Caenorhabditis elegans: one gene and its partner. The protein of the gene in region 1 interacts with the protein of each later gene in a pairwise test. Each region holds a gene or a part of one and is shown on either strand. Other genes may lie near its edges.

What was found. The genes of interacting proteins can lie anywhere in the genome.
Region 2: the proteins of T20B5.2 (region 1) and erh-1 interact in a two-hybrid assay, tested with the Caenorhabditis elegans proteins (one large-scale study listed by BioGRID).

Annotation. Positions count from the first base shown.
Region 1 is NC_003284.9:9,327,946-9,338,589, reverse strand, and holds T20B5.2 (uncharacterized protein), read right to left. Parts: upstream 7,458-10,644; 5' UTR 7,351-7,457; coding exon 7,315-7,350; intron 6,690-7,314; coding exon 6,618-6,689; intron 6,393-6,617; coding exon 6,300-6,392; intron 4,607-6,299; coding exon 4,520-4,606; intron 4,362-4,519; coding exon 4,274-4,361; intron 3,486-4,273; coding exon 3,352-3,485; intron 2,459-3,351; coding exon 2,346-2,458; intron 2,291-2,345; coding exon 2,197-2,290; 3' UTR 1,958-2,196; downstream 1-1,957.
Region 2 is NC_003283.11:10,577,927-10,582,153, forward strand, and holds erh-1 (Enhancer of rudimentary homolog), read right to left. Parts: upstream 1,216-4,227; 5' UTR 1,101-1,215; coding exon 1,010-1,100; intron 939-1,009; coding exon 808-938; intron 763-807; coding exon 673-762; 3' UTR 501-672; downstream 1-500. Other genes in the region: mics-1 (PDZ domain-containing protein), read right to left, coding at 1-58, 104-283, 332-395; lpd-9 (LiPid Depleted), read left to right, coding at 1,396-1,466, 1,881-2,013, 2,435-2,626; T21C9.6 (Phosphoenolpyruvate synthase), read left to right, coding at 3,966-4,066. UniProt on the Caenorhabditis elegans protein: May have a role in the cell cycle.

The DNA.
Region 1 (10,644 bases):
TAATCGAGAGATGAGAGGCGCAGAAGATGAAGGACTTGTCAAATTATTGATTTTTTATATTATTGCAAAAATTACATACTGAAGATGATCCAATGCTTCCAAAGTTTCGCTGAATTTCAAATATAGTATAGCCTTGCATTTTCGAAATAATATGTTTCAGAGAGAAAAATTTAACAACATTTATGTGAGTGACAATGTACTGACAACAGTGAAATAAAATGCAAATCACGGATTGTTTTGAGTGCAAGTACCGACCGACAAATACTTTGTGACTATTAATAAAGTGTTTTTTGAGAGAAATAATATTCCAAATTATAATGTTGTGCAAAACAACTTTTCACATTAAACAACTATTACCAGAACATATAGGTCAGTATGCTATTACAAAAATTGGAAAACAAAAAAAAGTCAGAGGAAAGGAAGCGATTATTGGGGAAAAAGTAAGAGGCGAAAAGAAAGACGCATTCTTTTTCGGGCAAGGGCACGCTAACCAAAATCCGATACGCCGTCGGCCCTCTCTCAGAGGACACCACAAAAGAAAGAGAGCGAGCGGAATGTGTGCGTACACCGCGACGACACATTGCGGACCCTTGTCGTCCTTACGCGCATTGATTCGCAGCAGGGGAAGACGTTTTGCGCGCAGTTAGTCGCGACGCAAAAGGGGTCCCTTATTCTTCTTTCTCGATGTACTACTCCGCGAAAACCGGGTCCATCTCGTGTTTGCTCCGCTGGCTTGGTGGGGTGCGATTAAAGAAACAGCATAGGCAAAATGGGGGAAGTAGAAGAGAGGAGAAGAGTTGCTGTGAAATCAATCCTTTTCTTTTCTTTTTGCGCACAACACTTTGGGGAATTATTCATCACATATCTTATAATTGGGTTCAGAGTTTTTCGAAATAGTATTTTTGGAAAAATTGCATTTTCGAGAAGGAAATCGATGATTATATTTGTAAAAGTTTGAAAGTCATGAATATAAAACACTCTGTCAATAAAATCGTTTATTTTTAAAATTCAGAAAAAAGTGATTGATTGAATATAAATATGATTCCTGTTTTCAGACCAGACATATTCGTGGAATTTATTTTAAACTACAATATTTTGTGGAACTAAAGTTCGAAACCATCAAAAAAGTAACTGTTTTGATTACCATTATTCTTTTGTCGACTTCTCCTCGAATAGTATTCATTTTAAACAAAAAATTACAGAATCAATAAATCTCAGTATTAGGAATAAAAGCTGCTTCAAGGTTTTACTCAATATTTGACAAAGGAGAGAGCTGGCGAAAGTCTTGTAATTATATGGTTTAGGGACTCATAAATGCTCCCTATCATGTGATAGCCCATTATTCATATCACCAAATATTTCGTTACATATTGGGATATAATGATTAAACTGACCTCAGAACTTGAAAACGTAAAAATTAGTAATACGAGTATAACACAGTGGAACAATACGCACGCGAAAATATTGAGGGAAAACTAGGAAAATTGAAGATTGTTTTTAAATGAAAAAAAAAAAACACAGAGCACAAGAAAGGTAAGAACTCACATTCTGACTTACATTTATTTTCAAACTTTTAGGCGAGCTCAGAAATTTTTTGGTATATACTTCTGTTTTTTGCGTAAGGAAAAGTATCAGTCATCAAAAATACTGAATAATGAAAGAAGTTGAAGGGAAAATAAGAAAGTGAAAATTTCACCTGTTCAAATATTGAAGTAAATATTTTTATGACGTTTTTTTAATCAGAAATGCAATTTTTGCTACCCGGATTTACCTGAAATATTCTTTTTTGACATTTTTTAAGTAATGAAAAAGTTTAAGTTTAACCAAAAACTTTGAAAAACAAAAACTCCAAAAGATATCTTCGCATTTCGGCGCTAATCCGGTAGATATTTCAAACTAAAAGAAACATTGAAGGCTTTATTAAAGATAATGTTCTTACAATGCAACAAAAAACATTCAAAATTGTATTATCTTTATTTTCACAAATTTTGTATCTTCACAAAATTTCAAAGACAAGATTTACTATACAGAAAAAAAGCAACAGATTATTGAATGTTTGGTTGTTATTGTTAAGGGCATCTTTTGGCAGTAGATATTGACAGATATTGATAGACAGCGGGAATAATGATATTGGGGAAAAGGAGAAAAAGAATGATAATGGATGATGACGCGTGATCAATTCACATTTAATTAAATTCAATCTTGGTAGAGCGGGTTTTCCATCAAGTATGCGCATTCGCTTGGCCTGCGGGAAACGTGTGGTGAGCTGGAGAATGAACGGGCCGAAGCGCTGAAAACATACAATTTTTTGTTTTTTGTTTCAAATATAATTGTTCATAGTTCACCTGGAATATCTATCTGGTTGAAATGGAATGGCAACTTCAAAAGACACTGTTTCTGTGTATGGGGATACGGGACGACCATCGTGAATGGAAACAAATCGGGACTTCTTGGTGACCTGAAACATAGAACTTCAAAATAGTTGACCTTTTAAAAAACAAACTCTGAAGCAACTTAATTGTAAATTTGAAATGATATTATTATTTTTTTGTCATACCAAAATCAGATAAATGTCTTCTCTACGCTTCATGTTTTACACTTTCCCTATAACACATGTGCGTAGATTGCTCGCAATTTGTTGTCACCATTTGCAGGATGACACAATAAAGCGGTTTGTTGAAACGGAAGTACGTGGATAATATGAAATTGAAATTAGTTTGGAGCATTTTGTCATTGCAATAGTCACGAGTTCATTTGGTTTAATGGTATTTTGATTCAGTTGGTGCATGATCAAATAGGGTTGATCTTTTGTAGCAAAATTTATTTTTCTTCTACATTTTATTTGAATTCAAATTTATGTTGTTTCGTATAAATATTTGCAACGAAAAATAAATGTTGATAGCTTGAGAAACACGTATACGGTAATTCGGGTAAGAGTATTGCACTTAATTTTTGCTAAGGATAAAAATGGCTTGAGACGGCATTAGTCAAATTTTCGTTCAATATCGATTATTGCGATCAAGCTATAGGACACTCGAAAATTATTTATGCATTCTAAAATTGTTGTACTGTCATTATTACTTTTTCAACCACACATGCAATTCACAAATACGGTAACTTCAATAACACTGTAAGCATCTTCCATATTAACCAGTCGGCAAAATCAATTTCAAACCGTTTGCCGAAGATTAACTATAACTACCAACCCCCAACGGTACTTTTAAATTCATTTTCACTTATTTTAGAAACCTTGTTACCAAATTCAATCAAAGATTTGATTTAACTTCTATTTCAATTATCTTTGTCGTATAAATTTCCTTTGTTTATTAAGTTATATTTCTCATAACAAACCTTTTTCAATGGCACATTTGCCGAATTTACGGACACATTACTCTGTCTAGATCCAGCTCCAGATCTTGAAGATGCCGAGTGTCCAGATCTTGGCGATAGCATGTTGATAGAACCTGATCTTGGTGAAACCTCATCTGAAAATTAATATTTTTTGTGACACTTGTACCAAAATTTTGGAATGATACTTTTTAATTTAAATCTTACCATACACCTAACAGAGAAAATTCATACTTTTCTCTTAGTGTTAACTTTACGAAAGTGTGGAACAAAAAACTTAATGTTTTTGTGAATTTAGATGTGTACTTTGAGTTCTCACCTTAGGAATGCTTTAAACAATTTTTGGTAAAAAAGTTTCTTTTTTGCTAGAATTAATTTAAACCATAGATTTAAAATAAATCATTCTATGTACTCATTCATTCCGTACCATTATCAGTTTTTTAAGCCACAAATCAATTCAGTCCTTTTTTAGATGTCTTTTAAACCTCTCGAGATGTTACTTTGTCATTATTAAGAGTGTGTTCAAAAAAATGCAATTTTACTGCAAGTTGTGAATTCTAAGAAACACTCATTTATTGTCATTCTCGACACCAATTCAGTGACTTAGTTCTCTAACAGTTCAGTGAACACGCTTTTCTGAAAATGAAAAAGATCTAGCGAGAAAAGTAACCTTCAGCTGTTTGGCATTCAGTCGACTGGAACTAAAACGATTCACGCGTTCAATTCTCTTTTTAATGCTCTAACAATTACATGACACCATGTCACTTATTAAATGTTTTAGATAGCTAACCCAATTTCATTCTATTTTCAATTTCCATCAGTCATGCAGTCTTCCCTGCCCTTGTCTCACTGCCCTTTCAGCATCAATTTATATATTTTTGCCCATTCCTGTTCCGTTTTGTGAAGCACGTTTAAATTTTCTTACCATACTGCAATTTATGTCTTGGCGATGCGTGTCGTGAAGAATTGGCAGGCTGAATGTCGATGCGTGGGATATGGAGAGGTTGGATAGGCTTCAAACATCGTTGTAATTAATATCAGATTTTCAAAAATTTTGCAACTACGCTTGTGTATTGCTGTGTCACAGAAATTCTTTTTATTGTTTACACACGCGCTTATAACTACTGAATCGCCTTCTAATTAAAGTAGTATACTAATATAGGAAGCTTACTTGGAGCAAGTGCCGGCTCAACTCATTTTCTCCACCAACTGGAGTGACAGGTCGGACTGGTGATGCTGGACGGACTGGCTCAGACGGCTGAAAAAAGTCTGAGTCATTTACAATTTTAGTTTTTGTTCAAAAACGTCTGTTAACGATTATCAAATCGTAATACAAGATTTTGCCCCATTTCGATTTCAACGATTTTTGTTATTTTTTCCACAATGTGGATATGTCAAGCACACATACTTGTCAAATAATGCGTTATTTCAGCTGAATGTTATCATGTTCAGAAGGTTGTTTTGTTTTTTGTCGAACTTATACTTCGGCGTCATTTGCTTAAAAATAACTCTTTTTTTAAACAAAGTGCATTTTTAAAAATAAATTGTCAATTATAAAATAAGAACATGGATGACCAACGTATTTTTTATAATCCTAGAGACTTTTTATTTATATGAGTTTCGCTTATTGTTAGGTGAACTATCTAATTTGTGACGTTTTTAAACAACAGACTTCTGAAAATAGTTTTGTTTAATATTATTACATGTTCTTGTACAAAGTTGAATACATTTTTTTAATCGTTTCATTTACGACTTCCGGATTAGAAAGAAAAAAAAAATATGAGAACGTTGTTTACGTTAAGCTCACACCGTTTGCACATTTGTTGTGGGCTTTTTGTGTGAAACTGAAATTATAAAAACTGGATGCGTTAATTACGCACATCCCATTCTGCTAAAGAAAACCACGTGCCTTCTATATCACTTCTATTATAAAATTAATTCTAGTGAAGTTCAAGTTGTGTTCATTTCTATACCTATAACTAGTCGGGTCTGAATTTGAAACACTTGTGATGTCACTGACAATCAAAAGTATGGCTCAAAAATGTTACTTCTCAGTTTGAAGAAAATACAATCCAATATTTAAGCGAAGTAAAGTACCATATTCCCCCATTTTGGTGATTCCTCTCTCGATTAGTTTTTAAAACAAAAGTTAGTAATTATGTACAAGATTAAATTAAGATTTTTTTCAAAATTTTCTATGCACACAAAATTTTTGGAAAATAAGAGCAATACGGTGTTCAAGACTGATTAGTGAGATTGTGGTGACTGCAAAATAGATAATTTAAAAATGAGGCATCGTTATTTTCAAATTACGCATTTTGACTCTTCATCTATGTTCCTCCAATTTTTCAAAATAAATAACCGGCTTCAATTGCTCATTTTTTATATTCGTTTATTATTCAAATTTGAGATTATACCCAAAAATGGGACACCATTTGCTTATTTCATTTTCATAATCCCATTGTAAACAAAACCAACACGTTTTTTTTTCGTTTTCATTTTCTTGTCTTTTTGTCTTTGCTTATACAAACATTGAAAGGAATGTAAATTGGTTCTGCAGCTCTATTTTTAAAAGTAGAACTAGTTTCAACTAGCTTGAAAAGTACGATAATAGTTAATGCAAATAAATGAGAAAAAGTGGTAAACTGATAACAGATCTATATTGAGAAGACAACTACATCGGTAAAATATTCTGTTAATAATTTGGGCTTTCACATTTAAAAATATCCTTAGAACAAAGTAGCTATAAAATTCACAACTAAAATTTAAATGCAAATTAAATCAAGTTTGACAAAACGTCCCAACTAACATGCCATTCAACACAATTATGAAAACAAGACCAAGAAATAAACGTTCACCTGCTGAATAACGCTAGTTTTTGCCACAATGCTACTCTTCTTCCCTCCTTTTCTTGTTTTTATTTCACATGTTCCGTCTAAAACCCTACTTACATTTTTCTCGATTTTCACGACAATTTCACCGTTTTCATCTCGACCGTAGGTTCTTCGTTCGGTGTACTGTTTCGACGAGACTTGTCGTTGTGGCTGGAAAATGTTAAAATTTTTGGAAAAATAATAATTTTTCTCCGGCAAAATCCACTTCCAATTGCTGATAAATTGTTTTTTTCAGTCTGATTCGTCATAATGAGATCACAAAGCAGATTTCTGTCTGGGAGTCGATTATGAAAAAGAATGAATTGAGTATTTTGGTGCACAAATGCAATTAATCCCTTGATTCATGTTTTTGAACACAAAATACAAAACACTAACCTCACTGTGTGGAGTTCCATGAATACGTCTTTCGAAAGTTTCAATCGTATGAGCTTCTTCACTTCCAATTTTCTAAAAGTTAGATTTTTTACTATCGTTGCAAAGTGTATAATTTTATAAAATTCTGATGGAGTCGAAAGTGTTGCTTAAAAATTTCACTCAAAGCTTTTTCAAGGCCCATATGTATGTCTCAAATAGAACTTTCCTCTCTTGATGCTTTTTCGATCTACCCAAAGTGGTTGAATTTATGGAGAAATTCACCATCATGAGTCTTGGAAGTTGTTGCTTTGCTTGACCATTCGCAATACTAAGATTACACTGGATTCTAGTTGAAGCGAATGGCAAAAATATAAAATGTTTATACGCTACTTGTGTATAATACCTCCGCCGTTTTAGAAATTAATTAATTTTCCATTGATTTATCCGTTCAAATTAAATGTGATACCTTTTTCTTCGTTAGGCTTAAAATGGTGTTTTCCTAGGCCTAAAAATACAAAAGAATTCCACACGTTTTTATTTTAAAAGTTAAAAAAAAATTAATTTCTAAAGTGGCGGGGGCATAATACACAAGTACCGTTTATACTTAACATTGTTTTTAAGAAAATAAATATTTCAGCATGTTGTGTTGATTTTTTAAATTTTTAATTCTGGATTCAAAATACATGCTTTCAAACTTTTTTTTGGTTTTTGTCGTTACCTCAAAACGTCCTCCTTCATATGGTCTCACATCCATGGTGATAGAAACTGTGTTTTAGGTTTTCGAAATTGACGAAAAGAAAAATGTGAAAAAGTTGAAAGTTCGGTGAAAAGAATGTGCAAACTACTGATGATTCAGTTTCTGCTTTCCAACCAAAAGTCCTCAACTGTTTTCCCTCCCCTTTTTGACTACTCTAACAGTCCCAATGCCTCCAGATTCCACAAACTCTTTCCAAACTCTTTGCTCTACTTTCACAGGGAAGGGGTGTCGCACAATGTGCAAACATCGAAAACTGAAATACAGTCGTGCTCTTTTTCTCTCGCATCATGCCGCAGCCGCAAGAGCTCAATGCTCTGGCGAGCCGCCACGCACTAACAAAAAACTCTTGTTGAACTCATTTCAAGTGGATTCCACTTCTCCAATTTGATGATCACAGGGAGGGGAGATAGGAGTGTAGATGAGTGAAGAGATAAATGTTTGAAAAACTAGATAGTATAACTGGTTGCGATATCTTCGGCTTGAGGTGATAACTGCTTTGTAAATAGGTAAATACTACAAAGTGAAATTATCAAGAGGTCAAAAAACTAGAAGAAGGTGTTTTGAGGAAACAGTAAAATAAATGTTGATTTCTTGGGTGCAAAATTAAAACAAAACTAATCCAAAGAAACATCACACCACACCAATTTTGGTTGAAACCCCTCACAATATTTTTAAAATCGCAATAGTCGAGATTTCTGAGTGTAGATCGTTTTTCTAGCAAGTGATTCCTCGAAACTAAAAATTTATATGACCCTTTCACACGCTATGCTTTTACTGGTAATGCGTTCCAACCAAGTAAACTAAAATGAATAAGGTATTTGGAAAAGAGGGAATTTGTTTTTTTTTAAAGAATTACAGGAAAAACTATTTTTCCAGTAAATGTACATTACGAGCCGAGATAAACGTAATTGTGAACAGGTGGGATTCATCTAATTATTGAATAATATTTAAACTGCGCTTAATATTAGTTGTAATTCAAATACTGTCACATTTACAACCACATTTCATAACAAATATTATTTATGTTGAACCAGACAAAGAAATACAATATAAAAAGGCTATTCGTTTTGTTTTTTGTTTTTCCCATCTTCATAGTTCATATGAAGAAGTGTTTGTTGCGTTGAAGTGACGGCTTGTTCCCATTTTTATTAATATTGAAAAATTCGAAGTATTTTTCTGAAAAGTTGTAGTATCTAGGTAAAAACTGATAGCAAATTCTTCTCTTTCAATATTCTGACATAGTGTTCAATCATAGGCTTTTTGCAAGTAAAAAACAACACGTTGTTTTTGTTTCTTTGTGATTAGTGCGCTTTTTTTAAATTTCTACAAACATAATTTGTGTGAAAATTATAATAATTTTTTAAAAGAAACTTAGTTTGCATATCTTGGTACTCAAAAAAAAAGTTTAAATGGAGATATCTTTGTATTGGTTCACAAGAATATCAATCTAATACTTGTTCACCTTTAAACTTAGAAACTCAGACAATATGGTTTTACATATTAAGACAACACCTATATTATTCAGTTTTTGACACACTAGAAAAGCTTGAGTCACGCTATAATCCGAAGACTTTTTATTTTGAAAATCGGAAAAAACACTGGTTGTTTTGAAGTTTTTAAGTTGAAAATTATATTTATGGTTTTTTGGTTTTTGGATTACATTCGAATAATGAATTTTTCTTCTCTTGCTAGATCTGATCTTCATTCTCCAAAACCGAGCAGTTTTTCAATTTGAAATACCCACGCAGTCCGTTGTCTGAAAAAATTTCAATGCAAATTAAATTTGATCAACCTAGAAGTAATACAATTAACTTGTGCCGTTATACACTTTAACTGCCCATTGTCAATTCTGAACTTTTCGATGTGCCCTCCCCGATGGCTCATCGTATGTCGGGAGGAAGAAGATGTTGGAAAGAAAGGGCACAAGTTAAACGCGTCCTCATTCCATGCTCACATCACTTTTTGTACCACATATTTGTTTCATTTCCTTTTTTCGCCCCACATATTTTGTCGCCGTTGCTTCCTTTCGTGTCGACACAGCCTTTCGCTTCTTCTTTGGATTCTAATCGGCCAAAGATTTTAACATAAAATAAATGTCAGTTGAAATGTTTTTGCATACCGTGGTATTCCAAGTTTTCGAGCGGATGTGTAGCAAGCTCCTCTATCACAAACATATCCGATGTACATATGAATTTGTTGCTTTTCTGAGTTTATATTTACATATACACCTTGAAATCAAGTTTGATGTTACGAATTTATTATATTTTCGCATCAGCTCATTATTGAATCTTTTAAACAACTGTGAAAAAGCATATGAACAACAATTGTTCATTTTTTCCAATCGACATGATGCTTGATGTAAACTTGTGAAAACGTTAAGAATTTCTAAAAGAATAAATTACCTGACCACATGGTAAAAGGAAAATATAATAATTGGAATTTTTCAAAACCATAAAAACCATGAGACCAGCTTTCGCTTGGTATTTCCAGCCTCGGAACCACGTATTTTTTGTTACAGTCACAATTATCTCAAGTTGGGAATGGTGTTTATTTCACTTTTCACATCTGACTAACCTTTCCTGACAAAAATACAAGTACAACAAGTTTAGGTGTGCTAACATTTTTTTCAATTTTTCATGATTTTTGTGCTCATTCTATTTACAAAATTAGACAAAAGTTGTGCGAAAAAATCGCTTCAAATGGCAAGTAAAAACTTCAACCATTTCTTTTGAGCAGTAATTTCGAATGATTGATTATTTTTTAATTCAAGTGAAAGTTTTTACGTTTTCAAAACAACTGCACTGACCTTTTCACACTAACTAAATATATGATATGCTCAGACATCACAATTTATGTTTAATTATTATTAAGCAGTTTCATTTTCTCTTCTTACAGAAAAATACATTATTGAAAATCAACAATTCCAAAGATTGACACCTCTGGCCTCTCACTAGAATATTAGATCTTGTCTTTCTTGGACCCATTGTTCCTCCTTTTTCTTTACAAGTTTTCCTCTTACGACTTTTTCCAGGACGAATGCCTGCAGAAGATAAAAATGTTTTTCTTTCCGTCACCTCTAACATCTAACTTGATCCTCTTTCTATTACAACTCGATCTGTTGAATGCTTACGTCGTATATTCCGTCAGATCTTTGAATTTGTACTCGATCTGCAGATTTTCAGATGAGAAACTTGTACTTGGAAGTGAATAACATGATGTAAATTTGAAAACAAGATCATTGGTATTCAGATCTTGAAAATTGGCTATTGACCTTCTTTTACTCAAAATACT
Region 2 (4,227 bases), on another chromosome or scaffold:
CCGATATCTCCAACAAAGTGAGGATTGTCTGTTCCACCAACTATATTGAATCCGAAACCTGTAAAATGAGTACTATATAGACGTTTAAAAATACAATTTATACCTTTAGATGTTTTTTCTATTTCAACTACTGTCAATGCCTCCAATGGAACAGATTCTTGTCCATTTCCATCTGTAGTCGTATCATTGAATGTCATGTCGTCCGTTGCTTCTGCAGCAAATGAAATATCGAATGTATGATCTTCATCAGCGTGAAATGGGGAGGAAACGAGAGCGGCATGATCTGAATATTCTTACCAACTCTCGAGTCCTTCCATAGTTTAATACTTACGTTCATAAACTGGATCTGAATCGGTATTGAACACTGTATCCTCTTGCGGAGGAGACACCATCATTCTGAACAATTTGAAGATTTTTGTAAATTTCGAAAATCACTAATTCCAAATGAAATAAATAATACACAGAAAACAACTGCTGTAATTATAAACGTAGAGAAATAACACCATTTAAAAATATTTATTCATGTGGTTGCGGATGAATTGTATAACTGGATATGAAATTTCGTTTTCACATTTTTTGGAAAAGAGTTTAAAACTTAGGACTGAATCCGTAAAAAGTGAGAAAAGAGAACGTTGGAAAGAGATAGAAGTGAGAAACCCATATGGATGGTAATCAGTGCTGATTATTGAGCCTGTTGTTCATTAATTTGTAGATGCTCTCCTTTACATATTGCTTATTGTGGGGGACATATGTGTATGTTGTCTGCAATTTTTTTTCCGATATTTAAAATATGTTTTAAAAACCAACATTGTCGAGAACCAGCATTGAAAGATCTTTGAGGTCGTCGATGAACTCGAAAAGGTGCGATATGTCATAGGTGATTTCGTTTTGAGCCGGAACCTTCTTTTTCAAATATTCTTCGTAGACTCTGCAGATTCCTATAAGTTAAAAGTTTTTAATTGATTATAAACTTTTAATTTTAAAATGTAATTTGGTTTTTGTTACTCACCTTCAAGACATTCCGTGGTATTCTCATAATCCGACCATGAACGTGACTCGATGTTGTCTGTCGGTTGGAGCAGAAGAATTGTGTGACTCATTTTCAAAAAATTGAGAATATTTTTGAAAGGGAAAAAACGGAGTAAATCTGCAACGTCAACGCAAAAAAAATATTAGCAAGAAGTGCGCCAGTACGTCGAATAGTGCGTCAGCGACGTCCACTGGCGCGCTTTTGGTGTTCGGGCAATTTTTATTTTTATTTTTTCTTTCTTCTATAATTTAACAATTTCCATACTGTTTGAGGTTTTTTGCATAAATTGTGAAAATCGAACAATTCCTATCAAATTTTCATTTTCTCAACACAAATTCTAAAAATTATTTTCAGGTGATTTCGCCATGTCAGGCTTATCTCACGCCGGCCGCCAGGTTGCACGTATTGCAGTTCGACAAGCATCGTCTCACTCTCAGTAAGTTTTTTTTAGTGTTAAAGGCTAAATAATCTGATGTCAAGAAATCATGTTAAAAAACGATATCAATGGAATTTTCGATATTTCAGAAAATATCTGTGTTCTTACCAGGAATTTTATTTTAAACAATAGCTTTTTCGTATTCGTAATGCAATTAGTTTACTAAGTGATTATTCTTAACAAATATAACAAATGCTCACTTTCTTATTTAATCTGTTCCGAAATACTAAATATTTAATCATCTATCCAAAAATATGCGTTTGCTCCCTTTAAAAGCATTAAAAAATGCATTAAATTGTTGATCTCTTAAAGAACAAAATTGATTTTTCAATGCTTGTAATATCTATCCCTCGAATACAAAACAGTTTCCTAAATTGGTGAATTTTTGAATCATAAATTTTCAAATTATTGCAGTGACTCCCACGCCGTCTGGAAAGAAATCAACAGACTCGGAAGTGAGGGAAAATGGGATAATGTGAACAACATGCCAAAAATGTTTTTGTTTGGTGAAGCCAAGCAGGAGACGACAGCTGCTTATCGTGCAATTGTGAGTTTTTTAAAGAATTAATTATGTTCCCGAAAGTACAGTCGGTTCGAAAATAGTTCGAAAATATGTTTTTGTTTTGAGAATTAATTGCAATGCTTTCAAAATAAGATAACCTTAGTACTTAGTTTACTGAATTTTTAATTTTTTGATCATAAAGCTTCCACAGCTATAGATTTATAGTGTCGGGACTGTCCGGCGAGGCTAAAAACTTGGCTTTTGAAGCCGCCATAATGTTTTTAAAAAAATTTCAAAGTTCTTCACAAAATCATATATTTTGTTATGAAATGGCATAAGTACTACAAAAAAAATCAATTTTCTCATGCATAAGTAATTAAAAAAATTTTAAACAAGAAAACGTTCAATTTTTAAAAAGTGACAGCATAAAATAAAACGCAATGCGATTTGTATTGTTTTATTTCAGAACAAAGACCCCGACTTCTTCCGTCAATCTCCATATGGTCAATATTTGAAAATTGTGTGGCGATTGGCTCTTCTTTTCGGAATCATCAAAGCCGGAACTGTTGTCTACGATTTTGCCGTTCCAGAAGAGCAGCGACTCAAGTACAAGTACCGTAATCACGGACATCACGGTCACGACGATGCCCATGACTAAATTTCTGATTCACCACCGTCCGAACGTCTTCTTTTTGCATAGGAAGAAAGAGCCCATTTTAGTGTATTTGTAATCATTATCATTATCACAAAAAGATTTTTCTTGTAAAAAATGTCTTCCCATAAACATTCACAACATTGCAAAGAACATATCCAATATTCGAATTAGAAGACCACCCAGATGGAAATTAAATACGTCGGCTGGTTTTATTTGCGCCGTCAATTCAGTTATCGAAAAAATCATCATCGTCATAAACTTAGTTATTGATTATTTCCTGATAACTACTTATACGTTCAACCAAATCATTTCGTTATCAGCCACAGTTTATATGTGCCATAAGATTCTTCAGCACTCAACTTTTCCAGTTTCTTATTTTTTGAACTTACCAATGCTAGAAGTATAAACATAGAAATTCACATTCTTTCTAGTTAACTTCTCTGCAATGACTGGTCGTTTTTGGAAAACATGGTTTGTACTCAAACTATTCAATTTTTTTGCCGAATTCTTCTTCGAGCCCTTGCCATAGATTATTCATTGTGTGACATCTCTATTGTATTCTCTATTATTTAGTACTAACTTCTCTGGAATTCGACTTGCATGTCATACTATTAGAGTATATGGCCGTGATGATAGGCTTGTGATGATATACCTTGTGAGGGCTGTGAAAAACAACAAAAAATCGAATTTCTCCAGAAAACCAAAAAAAAAACACTCTATTTTTTTCGATTTTTCATCAATCCAACTAAAACATAACATCTTTGAAAAACAATTTTTCTGTTAATTTGGTCTGAAAAAAAAATCAAAAATCCATTTTTACGAAAAAACCAAAAAAGCAAAAAACCGACAGCTCTGCTATGATATACTCATCTATGATGTGATATAGATGAATGTCTAGCGATGATTTTTTATAGAAACAATATGCCCGATTATTGAGCCTTAAAAATTCACTAAAATTTCTCAATTAATCTTTGTTTGCCGAGTTTGACATATAAGTTGCTAGAAGCTATTGATCTTTTCCATTTTCCAACAACAAATATTTGACCTTCAATACAACAACACTAATTTATTAGCACAATCACTATCAAATCTGCACGTACTTTTGTATTTATTTAATGATTTAATCAAGAGTCTTTTATCAAACTACATAGATATTCTAAGTGTCACATGAAAATCAGTTGGCAAATATATACATTTTAAAACTATTTTATAAACCGTTTCAAGACAAGTACACTTGAAGCTATCTCTGATTACTAAAATACTATCAAGATCTATCTCTTCAGTTATTGATGTTCTTACATGTATTGCTATTGACATAAAATTCTACGTATTTACAGAACAAATGTTGATATTCCTGTTTTTGCTGTTTCTTTCAGCTCCACTATGCAAGTTTGTATTGTATCCAGTGATATACGCGTTCCTTAAATGGAGACATCCGGTCAAGTGAGTACTAATGTGATTATGGACCCAGTATGGGGCAATTGATCACTTTTTTGTTTACGACCCAAACTGGTTATCTATATTGAAATTCGAGTTTTTTGTCAATTGTGATTTGATACTATCAGTTGATTAACAAGTGAGCACACTTTTTTTTTTGAATGAAT